Linked DNA regions of Rattus norvegicus. Each later gene encodes a partner of the first gene's protein in a complex. Links are inferred from orthologs where the notes say so. Each region holds a gene or a part of one and is shown in the gene's direction. Other genes may lie near its edges.

Region 1 (3,631 bases):
CCTTCCCTCAGTTTGTATGACTAATGTATGGTTTCTTGGGGTTTTTTTTGGGGGGGGGTGTAAATTATTTATTTTGTACAATACCCCTAGGGACACACAGTTGACTTTGTAGGGGCTACTGGCAGCAGCAGGGAGTCAGATTCACACTAAGAAAGCTGTTGAGGTTTGGTCTGTTGCTATGTATTGTATTGTAATGCTAAATTCTGTATCCTAAGCTCTAGGCCTGTGAATGAATTCTCACAGTTACAGGCTTTTGTTGTGCAAACCTTGTTTCCTAGTTTAAAACTGTTGGTTAAATAAGATAGGTGGGTTTTGAGTTACCTGGTTGGAGGCGGAGAAGCTAGAGGCCAAGACTGAATGGGGAGAGGGGACACAGTACCAGAGAGGAGATGGGCTGTGGCACTAGCGCAGGCCTGGAGAAACACCAGGCATCTAGGGGACACCGCTGGGGTGGGGAGGTGGCCAGGCCAGCAGTTAGAGAAGCAGATTAAAGGTTGCCCCTCAGTAATTATCAAAGCCAAATAAAATAACCATAGTCCGAGTTACACGTGTTTGTAAGCTAGCCAGGGGCAAGATTAAAATTGGTTCTACTACAGAAAGGAGTGTGGTTTTAATGGAAGCCACTTTTTACATTCATGAGCCTATCTGAGTGTGTGCATGTCTGTCTGTGGGCGTGGAGGCGCTGCAGTAGCATGCGGTAGGAAGTCACAGGATGCTCTACACAGTCAGTTTCTTCTTCCACCTTCTGACCCAAGGCAGCAAGCTCTTCCCCAGCTGAGCCATTTCACCAGCCTAGGAAGTAATTGGTTGGTTTTTGTTTAAGGTAGGGTCTCATTAGGCAGCCCAGGTCAACCTTAAACTCAGGATCCTTCTGCCTCATCCTTAACATTCTGAGTTTATTAGCAAGGTGTGGACCTGTGCTCAGTTTGGGAGATTTTTGGAGGGTTTTTTTTTTGTTTGTTTTTTCTTTTTTTCTTTTTCTTGTTTTGAAATGAGCTGGAGAGAGCGATGGCTTGGTGGTTGAAAGCAGCTTCTTAGGTGACCACCACCACCTACTCTAGCTCCAGGGACCCTGACACTCTTTCTTCTCTGGCCTAAAAAGGCACCACACACATGTGGTACACAATCAACACAGACAAGCAGATACATGAAGCAGATGTCTTACTACATTTGTACATGGCAGGGCCATGAAGGATTTCCTTCATTTGTACCACATGGGTCTCAGGGACATAACTTGGGTCATCTGACCTGCTGAGCCATCTAAGAATATAACTGGTTTTGCACTCATGTTGTACACGTATGTTTTAATTCACCAGCTCTTCATAAACATACTGACAAAGAGATAACAAAGCTCAGTTATCTTCCTTCATGAGTAACATCTTCAGGAGCAGCTTCCTTGCTACCTTATGAAGATGGCATTGCACAAATGTGAGGACACTTAGGACAGGGATGGCGGCATAAAGCCTGCAGTTCCAGGGCTTGGAAGTAAAGGCAGCAGGGCTGGAAGCCCTGAATCACCCTAACTATACAGTGAGCTGGAGGGCAGCCTGGACTGTGGGACCCAGCCTCAAGAAACATACAGACTGCCTAGGAAGCGCAAGGCCCTGGGTTCGGTCCCCAGCTCCGAAAAAAAGAACAAAAAAAAAAAAAAGAAACATACAGAAACCAGACCCTGCTTTAAAAAAAAATCTATGGCTCTGCTGGAGAAATTCACAGCTAAGAACAGAACAGGAGACTCTAGAGGGAACAGAGTATTAGGTGAGGATCATTTTAGTTTAGTTTGTTTATATGGATTTTGTTTGAGACAAAATCTTCCTACATAGACCAGGCTAGCCTAAAACACACAGAGGCCCATTTGCCCCTTCCTCTTGTTGTTGGGATTAAAGGCTTGCGCCACCACAGCTGGTCCCTCATTTCGTATTCTAACATGATACACCTAAAACCACCTGCATTTACAGTAAGATTGCTGACCACTGGGCCACAGTGGGTAGTTGGAGCAGCAGGAGAAGACTGGCATTTGCTGAGGGTCTGCTAAGTACCTGCAAGGTGCTGTGTGCCTGTTTCTAACTGTACCACCGTGGTGGGTGCTGCTGCCCCAGTTTACCAGAGAAGACACTTGGAAGGGTAAAGGCAGTTCTTGAAGGCTGTGTGGTTTAATCACACATTGTCAGACCTCGGAAGTGATGCTGTGGGCACTGCCTGTGCATCTTTGTAGTTTCCTTTTCTCAAGCCAACAATTCTTTCTTTCAGTTTTAACCGCCTGGACCTCCCACCCTACAAGAGCTATGAGCAACTGAAGGAAAAGCTGTTATTTGCCATTGAAGAAACAGAAGGATTTGGACAAGAGTAATTGTTGAGACCTTAGGCCACCAGAGGCCAGGGACTCGTCTGCAGTGTCTGTCCCTTTCCTTCTCTGCCTGTTGCACATCTTATTGTAAACTTGGACTGTGACTAGAGAGTTATCTGAGAGTAAGTAAATTAATGTTATCGTTGAGATCTTCCAGTCATTCTGGATTTCTACTCAACGTTTCCAGAAAGCAGATCTACAAACAGTAGTCAGAAACTTAACATGAGATTTAACACAGCGATGAATTCTCCCTGTCTTACTCCACTAGATTGTTCCCTTAACAACAGTTTGCTGTTTGTCCGGAGTCTCACTTGGGCGCAGGTCTCTTAGTGGCTGTTGTAAAGGGCTTTGCAGGGACATCTCAGAAACTGCAGTACACAAGGTCTTCCTGGTAAAGCCTCTAGCTAAGAGGTGCAAGCTTAACCCAGCGTCTGGGCACACGAGCAGCTGCAGCTTGTGCTCTCCCGCTCTTCTCAGCCTGGCCTGACTGTTGTTTTTCATTCCTGAAGCATGACCAGTGCACCATCCTGCTGTTATTTCTGGAAGTGACGCAGGACTTGCATTTCTCTACAAAGTAGTTGTGTCTATTTGAATTCAGGGAAAACTTGGTCCCCGCCAACATATGACTTCATACCTCTCTTCATTCAGTTTGTAATTGTTTATTGCCTTGCACATATGAAACCATACTTACAGACAGTATCAGCACTGTGGCTCCCTCACGGTTTTTAGAAATTTATCTAGAATTAAAATAAGTTCAGATGAATTCATGTAAGATCATTCCTGATTTTTAAATTCTACACATAAATTAAAGCTTAATGGTGTTGATGTAATCCAACACCTTAGTTACATTTCATCCTTGCTAAAATATTCAAATTGCAACCATTTTCTAACACAGATGGAGGTCAGTTCAGTGGTGCAGTGTCTGCAGTCAGAACAGCATCCAGCAGCCACACAGCTGCGCTGTCTTCACACTCCACTCCTGACACAGCAGGAGCCGTTTCTACCTTCTTCAGGTCCTGATCCGCAATAGTTTTCTCACCTCTAAAAATTTTAGATCTCCCTTTTCTTTCCATGACTCATTTATCTTAGACTGCTCCTTTAGTAACTGATGAATGCACTTTGACCTTCTCTGTAGTTAATTCACCTTGGCTTAGCATTAGACTGTCAAGATGGCTGCCGCCATAGACATTATGGGCAATAGGATGAAACCTCAGCCAGTTGAGTCCCTTTTGTAGCCAAATCCCAAAATCAGCCTTATTATTCTAATAGGGACCTTGAAAGGTG
Region 2 (4,321 bases), on another chromosome or scaffold:
TAGGCAAGCGCTCTACCACTGAGCTAAATCCCCAACCCTTTGCTTCTCCATCTTAATCTCGGGGCTACTGTCTTTATATTCCAGGGCAAGGAAAAAGGCGATAGATAAACGCCTAATAATTCTGCCCAAATATGGAAGGAGGCTAGGACTCAATGACAAGGCTCTGGCGGGGTGGAGGTGGGAGGAGGTGGGTGAGGAATAGGGTAGGGGCCCTGGGGTGTCAGGGAGTGGTGGGTAGTCCTTCAACATACAAGAGTTTCTTTGCACTCAAGTTATTTCTCTAGTCAGCTCCTGAAGCATTTCTCAGCAAGGTTTGCCAAATAGCCAAGTGAAACCAATACAGCTTCAGCCCTGGGGAGACTGAAACAGGCTGAGGGGTATGCATTTCATTTAGTGATTTTGATGAGAGGACAAATGGGGAAAAAAAAAAAGAGTGACAGGAACTCGGGAACAAAGTAAGGAGTGACAGATCGTTTTCTTCCTTTTTCTTCCCCCCTGTTTGTTTGTTTGTACCCACCCCTTGTTTCCTGGAGGAGCAGGGACGAAGGGAGAGATCAGTGTAAAGGTACACACCTCACTAAAGCTACAGTGAGGTAAATAAGGGAACATATACAAAATGTTCCCCAACCTCACAGGTACACTGAAGAGATGAGGGGATAAGCAACAGGATGTGGACACTCCCTTACTGCTTCCGTTCCAGAGAACAGAACAGAATAGAACGTAATGGGCGAGGAACAATAGCAGCACATAGGGCATGGAACGAAGGGGTACACACCAGACCATGTACCAATAAGGACTTTAAGCCAGACTTAAAATATCTGACAAGTCCCCCGCCCCCGGGAGATGGAAGCGTTTTATTCAATAGAAGTGTAATGGGAGCACATCGGGTAGGCTCTTTCTCACTAACACAACTGCACTCTCGCCCTCCGCTCCATCCTGAAGTATCCTTGGGGATTGTTTTTCACAGACTTGCGAACTTGTGAGCCAGGAATAAATGGTCACGTCGAAATGAATTGCGCTGGCTAAGACAGGCATGAAATCCTCTCCTAAGCACATTTTTCTTTTACCTAAAAAAAGAAGGGGAAAAAAACCAACAAAGCACACACCCAAACAACCCAGCTCCCGAGAGGAGTACCCTGGATGAGGTTCAGGGTCTCGGGGTCCCAGACTCCCGAGGGAGCCACCCGCTGCCCCAGGCCCCGCCCCTCCTCCCTGGCAAGGCTGCGCACCCGAACAACAACCATTTTCCCCGCTAAGAGCACACTGTGTCCACGCGCCTCTGCGGCCTCGCTGATTGGTTAGAGGCCTGGTAAACAAGGACCAAGTAGCCAATGGGAGAACTGTGCACGAGGGATGCACGAGCCTCCGGGCCAGCACTCGCGTGGAGCGTCAAGCCAGGCGGCTATATAATGCCGTTTCCGGCTCCCGCTTGACACTCTCCTCTTCTGGTCTTTGGATATCCAGAGTTCCTCCAGTTGCGAGAAAACAGCTGTTATTTTTCTCCTGAAAGCTTTTGGCACAACCAGCTGGTTGAAACTTTCAGGCACCTTTTAGAGAAGTTGTTAAGGTTTTGTTTGAGGCTTTCTTTGGGTTTTTAAGCCCTCTCTGCCTCACGGAGAGACTTAAGTTCTTAGTTTGCTGAGAAGGATTCTGAAGAGTTTTTCCTCTCCGGCTTCCGTTTTTCTTGAACCCACTCGGCTCAATCATGGTGATGTTCAAGAAGATCAAGTCTTTTGAGGTGGTCTTCAACGACCCTGAGAAGGTGTATGGCAGCGGGGAGAAGGTGGCCGGCCGGGTGACAGTGGAAGTGTGTGAAGTTACCCGAGTCAAAGCCGTCAGGATCCTGGCTTGCGGTGTGGCCAAGGTCCTGTGGATGCAAGGGTCTCAGCAGTGCAAACAGACCTTGGACTACTTGCGCTATGAAGACACCCTTCTCCTAGAAGACCAGCCTACAGGTACAGCTCTTGGCAGGACGGATAGTGACTTATGGGGCTGGGGGTGGGGCCTCCACTAAATGTTTCGAGTCGATCGTTTGAATGGTTTGAGCTGTTGGCCCCTATATTTTTACCTTTTAATTTGCAAGTTATTCCGCTACCCTCCTCCACCCCCCATAGTAATTGGAACAGTTTCTGGGGTGCTGTTTCCTGAAGGTGTTGCCTTAGCTACGTAAAGATTAATGTATTCGTGGGTTGTGCAACTTTCTGTCCCGGGGAATCTTATTCCTTAGTGTGAGAGATGAAAGTGTGGAAGTAAGACAGTCTGCTGCCCAGGCACTCCTCACTGATGCTGCATTTGGAATGTAACAAGAAGTCTAATGGCCCCTTGCCTTTGTTTCCCCGCAGGTGAGAACGAGATGGTGATCATGAGACCAGGAAACAAATATGAGTACAAGTTCGGCTTTGAGCTTCCTCAAGGGTAGGCATCACCGACCGCACCATGGACTCTTTATTTCTAAGTCTTCCCCCTCCATTGATATTTCACATTTCTTAGCATTAATTTTTGTTCATTGTTTTGACACAGGCCCCTGGGAACATCCTTCAAAGGGAAATATGGCTGTGTAGACTACTGGGTGAAGGCTTTTCTCGATCGTCCCAGCCAGCCAACTCAAGAGGCAAAGAAAAACTTTGAAGTGATGGATCTAGTGGACGTCAATACTCCTGACTTAATGGTGAGGCTTTTTTCTTTTATTTTCTTTAAGGTTTTATTCTCCTTGGTCAGAGATAATGAATTAGATGCATGAGGCATTGAAATAGCTCAAAACATTATTTCCTTCTTCACAGGCACCAGTGTCTGCCAAAAAGGAGAAGAAAGTTTCCTGCATGTTCATTCCTGATGGACGCGTGTCAGTCTCCGCTCGAATCGACAGAAAAGGATTCTGTGAAGGTAAAAGCCCAGTGCTTATAATACCAGATAGGATAGCCACAGCTGTGGGGTTTGGAGGGGGTTGTGGGATAAAGGCGGAGGAAATGCTGTTAAATTTAATGGATATTCTTCCTTCCTCCTCTTCAACTCTAGGTGATGACATTTCCATCCACGCTGACTTTGAGAACACATGTTCCCGAATCGTGGTCCCCAAAGCAGCTATTGTGGCCCGGCACACTTACCTTGCCAATGGCCAGACCAAAGTGCTCACTCAGAAGCTGTCCTCAGTCAGAGGCAATCACATTATCTCAGGGACTTGCGCATCATGGCGTGGCAAGAGTCTCCGAGTGCAGAAGATCAGACCGTCCATTCTGGGCTGCAACATCCTCAGAGTTGAATACTCCTTGCTGGTGAGTGAGGAGGGAAGAGAAATAGTTGCTTGGGTGCAAAGTCAGTGCCTCCTCTAACACAACCCATCTAACAAACTCCCACCTTCCTTCCTAGATCTATGTTAGTGTCCCTGGCTCCAAGAAAGTCATCCTCGATCTGCCCCTAGTGATTGGCAGCAGGTCGGGCCTAAGCAGCCGGACATCCAGCATGGCTAGCCGGACAAGCTCTGAAATGAGCTGGATAGACCTAAACATCCCAGACACCCCAGAAGGTAAGCTTCAGCTAATAAACTCTTCGTTTTGACCTGCTTGGGCTTGTGGAGTTGGGGTGGCCTGGGAGTTTCTTAGCTGGACTTCTGACCCCGTTTTCTCTTTTTCAGCTCCACCTTGCTATATGGACGTGATTCCTGAAGATCACAGACTGGAGAGCCCCACCACCCCCCTGCTAGATGATGTGGATGATTCTCAAGACAGCCCTATCTTTATGTACGCCCCCGAGTTCCAGTTCATGCCTCCGCCCACTTACACTGAGGTGAGAGTCACTACTTTTTTTTAAGGGTCAAGATTTTGTCCTAGGCCTTCTGAGGGAAGGGATTCGTGTGGGTTTTCTACTTACCTAAAAAATCTGAAAGTCTCCTCGCTCTTCCCCCTAGGTGGATCCCTGCGTCCTTAACAACAACAACAACAACGTGCAGTGAGCCTTCAGGGACGACTCATCTGTACTACTCAACGCTTTCTGCCTCTCTGCTTGAACTCCAATGTTTCAGAGACTCAGTCTCTCCAGTGGGGAGTGGGTACACCCCCGCCTCTGACTCCACAGATGGGTGGCAATCAGTAGGCAAGTCTCCAGCCTCAAGGGGTGCAGACCAGTGCCCGCACCGTGATATAGGAGTGTTTGCTGGGTGAATGTCGGAACGCTCAAAACATTCAGACCTGGCCCACTTTCCCAGATGTTGGAAATGAAGAAGTTGTTATTTTTTTGAGTCGGGGTCTAAGTGACCTTCAGGCATGGTCTTTCCAAGGTGTTTTGTTTTGAAGGGAATTAAAAGAACAGACCATGAACTTCTGTG
Region 3 (3,631 bases), on another chromosome or scaffold:
TGCAGATCCCAGGCAGTTACTTTGGCTCTTTTAAATTTCATCTCATTCTTAGGAGTTCTGAGCCGGGGTACTGTGAGTTCCCTGCAGTGACCAGGTTGTGACGTTTCAGTAAACCTGGAATAACGTAATGGCTGGGTACGTGTCTCCCTTGAAAGGGAGAGCCTCTATTAGGCTGTGCCCCACCAGCTGCTCATTCAGAGGAAGTTGGTAAATAGGTATTTATCTCAGTCATCCCACAGTGCTTTAAGATGACTGGATGGGGATGGAGAGAACGGTCTTAGTAAGACTCAAAACCTAAAACAAACCCAATTGTGAGCTCTGAGAAAACATGTCGTCAGTCAAGGGTTCAGCAAAAATGAAGGATGCTGGGAAATGGTTATCAGTTGAAACTTGTTGTAGAAAGCATCAGCTGAATCCTGAAGATGGCTGTGAAAAGGGAGCAGAATGTTGAAGACTTACTAATGCTCCACATGTTGGGCATGTGCATTGTGTGCGGAGCAGACGGTGTGGTGCTGCGACGTGGCTTCCCCATGCCAGAGCCTGTGTGCCTAGCCCTGTCGTACTGTGCTGCTCTGTGTGTGCTGCTGCTGCTCCCAGAGAACGTGTCAGTTCACCAGCTCTCACACATGCTTCACGTTGGGGTGTGGCGACCCTCACACAGGTCTCTGTGGCTCAGGGACAGTTTATTGCAGCTCTTACCAGCTTGCTCTCTGGAGACCTCTGAGTTTGTGATGGTCTCCATGAAGCTGGCATGCCCAGGGTAAAGATGTGCCTTGAGGGGAGAGTGATTTTGATACTTTTCACATTGTATGGTAACCAGCACATCTGGCTGTAGCCATTACAGCAGGCCATTTTATCTTAGAGGAAATTGGCTGTGAAGCAGAGCTCTGCTCTGTGTTCCTAACTGGAGCCTCTTCTCTCTCCCTCCTTGCCCCTGCTGCCCAGTGAGGACCTGGGAGAGTTCATGGAGACAAAAGGTGCCAGCAGCCCTGGGATCCTGGTGCTGACTACCGGCCTGAGCAAGCCCTTCATGCGCCTGGACAAGTACCCCACACTGCTGAAGGAGCTGGAGAGACACATGGAGGTTCAGCTGCTCTCTGATCTGACCCCTTATGTCTGTGAAACCACCCTAGAGCTTGTCCAGAGTTCATAATGCGGTGTTTCAGGGGGACTTTGTTAAGCATGGAGATTTTCTCCTCCAGCCCTAGGAGTAAGATCTGTCTTTTTACTTTCTCGTGTAAAGGCTCCAGAAAGCTGCAGAGCGTAGTTTTCAAATAGAGCTGGGTGTCCTCGCAGCATTTAGTTACAGGCAGTAGGGCTGAATGCTGAGTGACACGGGAGGCACTGATTGTGTGTGGGCTAAGAGCATGCACGTCTGCTGCTGCTTTTCCTGGGTGTCTGCAGACGCCTTCATGCTGTTTCTCAGCTCCGCCTTGTAGGGCAGGGCTGTCAGAGATGGAAGCACTGTGGGGCCATGTCCTCGGGAGGCTCCTACCAAACAGCGTGGCTCGCTGACCCTTCTTGGAAGTTCTGTTTTAAATTAATTTCCCTCCAGTCTTTTAGGCACCGTAATCCTTTAAAAGATAAACAGGCCTCACACCGAGAAACAAAATGTCTGTGGGGTGTTTTCGATGTGAGAGTTAATCCTATCTTTCTTTATCCAAAGGATTATCATCCTGATAGACAAGATATTCAGAAATCTATGACTGCCTTCAAAAACCTTTCAGTAAGTGGTTAAGCGTATGACTTTCTCTGACCTTCTCATGATGAATGCATATTGGGTTAGCACCCAACTGGAAGGATGCACAGTAACGAGTGAGTTGTGAGTTAAGCGCAGTGTTTACTGAGATATGAGGACATGCATAGCAACGTTCAAGCAGGAACCTCTCCCACTCGAGTGCACTGCGGGCCCCAGAGCCAGAACTGAGGACACAGTGCAGTTCGTGCTGCAGATGTGTGAACCCATTTGACTCCTTGCCTCCAAGTCCAGGGTGCTTCAGTCATCCAGGACACCAGTCGTGCTGTCCTTCCTCTCTGCTGGCAGTTCCTGATGGAACCAGAGCAGGTGCTCTCCTGCTTTACTGTGTGTTGCTTGTCCCGAGCCTAACAGAAAGGCCTGTAAAGCCTAAGGAGCCAGAGCAGGAGTACGTGTCGCTCCCTTGGCCTGACTTTAATTAGCAGACATTCAGCTGGTGCAGAACAATACAATTGTATAAGCAGAAGCAGGGTGGTGAAAACAAGGTTCTGGAAGCTTCTATCTCTGAACACTTGTGTTCTGTGTCCCACAGGCCCAGTGTCAAGAAGTACGAAAAAGGAAAGAGCTGGAGCTGCAGATCCTGACAGAGCCCATCAGGAGCTGGGAGGGGGATGACATAAAGACGTTGGGCAGTGTTACATACATGTCCCAAGTCACAATTCAGTGTGCAGGAAGCGAGGTATGGAGGCCCGCCTTCAGTCCAGGTCTAGAGGAGTGTCGTGCGGCTGTGTATATAGGAGCCTGTCACTTGTGCTCCACTTTTTATCCCTGACAAACATGGAACTTGTGGTATGGGTAGAAAGTTCACAGCACATGGGCCAGTTGCCAGTCCCATGCCCCAGGATCAGCTTGTTCCAAAGCTGTGTGAACTGAGAGCGTGTTCACCCAAGACCGGAAGAGACTGGTATGTTTCTCATTGTGTCCAGGTGTCTTATACAGACACTGGCATGGCCCTGGCTCAGGCTTTTCCTATCAGAAAAGCTTGTGTGTATTCTGGTGTCTATTAATGGGGATCACTGCTTTGTTGCTGGTTTGTTAAGTGACATCCCTCTTCACCAAATGTTAGCTTTTAATGGTTGAAGAAGAAACAGAATTTGCTCAGAGTCCTCTCCCCAACCCCCCACTACATTATAGTGTGGGCACTGGAAGAAATTGTCCCATTCTGTTATCACACTGACCTGAAACACTACAACCTTTCAGAACGTGTTCCTTAATCAAATGATTCTATGTGTGTGGGTGTTTTATCTGCATGCATGTTTTTGTACAAGGTGCATGCAGTGCCCACAGAGACCAGGAGAGGATGTCTGGGCCCCTGGAAATGCAGTTACAGGCAGTTGTGAGCTGCTGTGTGGTCCTGGGAATTAGACTTGGGACCTCTGGGAGATCAGTCAGTGCTCTTAACCACAGAGCCATTGCAGCCCCTTAATAAGTGACTCTTAAGTTTTGTATTAGATCACTGTGCGACGCTTCCCAAGTGCTGAGTCTCCATAGCAGTGGTGGGCGTCTCTCCAAAGAGAGTCCGAGCTGCCATGCCTGTGTGCCTCCAAGAGAGCACAGCAGGTTTCAGCAGCTTCTTAGGATCCACACCTTCCTCATCCCGGCTAGCCTCTGAGTGAATGTGGTGTTGTGAAGAGCGTGCGTGGGAATCTGAAGGTAGTGGTTCATGCTGATGGACGCCTGCCTCTGTCCTTCAGAGTCTCTGGACTCCGCCTCTTAGATCTCTGTGTTCGCTTTGACTTGGTTACTTTGAGGCAAATGTTTTTTTTTTTTGTTTTTTTTTTTTTATTAAAGTCTTTTTTTTTTAAAGATTTATTTATTTTATGTATATGAGTACACTATATCTGCCTTCAGACACACCAGAAGAGGGCATTGGAT

Evidence for each region.
Region 2: the proteins of Itch (region 1) and Txnip are in contact, whole or in part, in a crystal structure (PDB 5CQ2), measured with the Homo sapiens proteins. The link is inferred for Rattus norvegicus from reciprocal best matches to the Homo sapiens genes ITCH and TXNIP. Residues at the interface, in NP_001244066.1 of Homo sapiens: Glu485, Arg487, Thr489, Tyr495, Val497, Asp498, His499, Arg502, Thr503, Thr504, Thr505, Tyr506, Leu516; in NP_006463.3 of Homo sapiens: Pro328, Glu329, Ala330, Pro331, Pro332, Cys333, Tyr334, Val337, Ile338.
Region 3: the proteins of Itch (region 1) and Arhgef7 are in contact, whole or in part, in a crystal structure (PDB 5SXP), measured with the Homo sapiens proteins. The link is inferred for Rattus norvegicus from reciprocal best matches to the Homo sapiens genes ITCH and ARHGEF7. Residues at the interface, in NP_001244066.1 of Homo sapiens: Arg252, Pro253, Pro254, Arg255, Pro256, Arg258, Pro259, Pro260, Pro261, Pro262, Thr263, Pro264, Arg266; in NP_001106983.1 of Homo sapiens: Phe193, Phe195, Thr198, Asp201, Glu202, Arg215, Glu217, Glu218, Gly219, Gly220, Trp221, Glu223, Thr230, Trp232, Pro234, Asn236, Tyr237.

The regions. Positions count from the first base shown.
Region 1 is NC_086021.1:164,189,195-164,192,825, forward strand, and holds part of Itch (E3 ubiquitin-protein ligase Itchy homolog), read left to right. Parts: intron 1-2,250; coding exon 2,251-2,350; 3' UTR 2,351-3,631. UniProt on the Homo sapiens protein: Acts as an Acts as an E3 ubiquitin-protein ligase which accepts ubiquitin from an E2 ubiquitin-conjugating enzyme in the form of a thioester and then directly transfers the ubiquitin to targeted substrates.
Region 2 is NC_086020.1:186,780,418-186,784,738, forward strand, and holds the start of Txnip (thioredoxin-interacting protein), read left to right. Parts: upstream 1-1,515; 5' UTR 1,516-1,705; coding exon 1,706-1,955; intron 1,956-2,342; coding exon 2,343-2,415; intron 2,416-2,520; coding exon 2,521-2,668; intron 2,669-2,780; coding exon 2,781-2,883; intron 2,884-3,015; coding exon 3,016-3,272; intron 3,273-3,366; coding exon 3,367-3,523; intron 3,524-3,631; coding exon 3,632-3,783; intron 3,784-3,904; coding exon 3,905-3,949; 3' UTR 3,950-4,321. UniProt on the Homo sapiens protein: May act as an oxidative stress mediator by inhibiting thioredoxin activity or by limiting its bioavailability.
Region 3 is NC_086034.1:84,397,653-84,401,283, reverse strand, and holds part of Arhgef7 (rho guanine nucleotide exchange factor 7), read left to right. Parts: intron 1-945; coding exon 946-1,084; intron 1,085-1,666; coding exon 1,667-1,726; intron 1,727-2,288; coding exon 2,289-2,435; intron 2,436-3,631. UniProt on the Homo sapiens protein: Acts as a RAC1 guanine nucleotide exchange factor (GEF) and can induce membrane ruffling. Functions in cell migration, attachment and cell spreading. Promotes targeting of RAC1 to focal adhesions. May function as a positive regulator of apoptosis.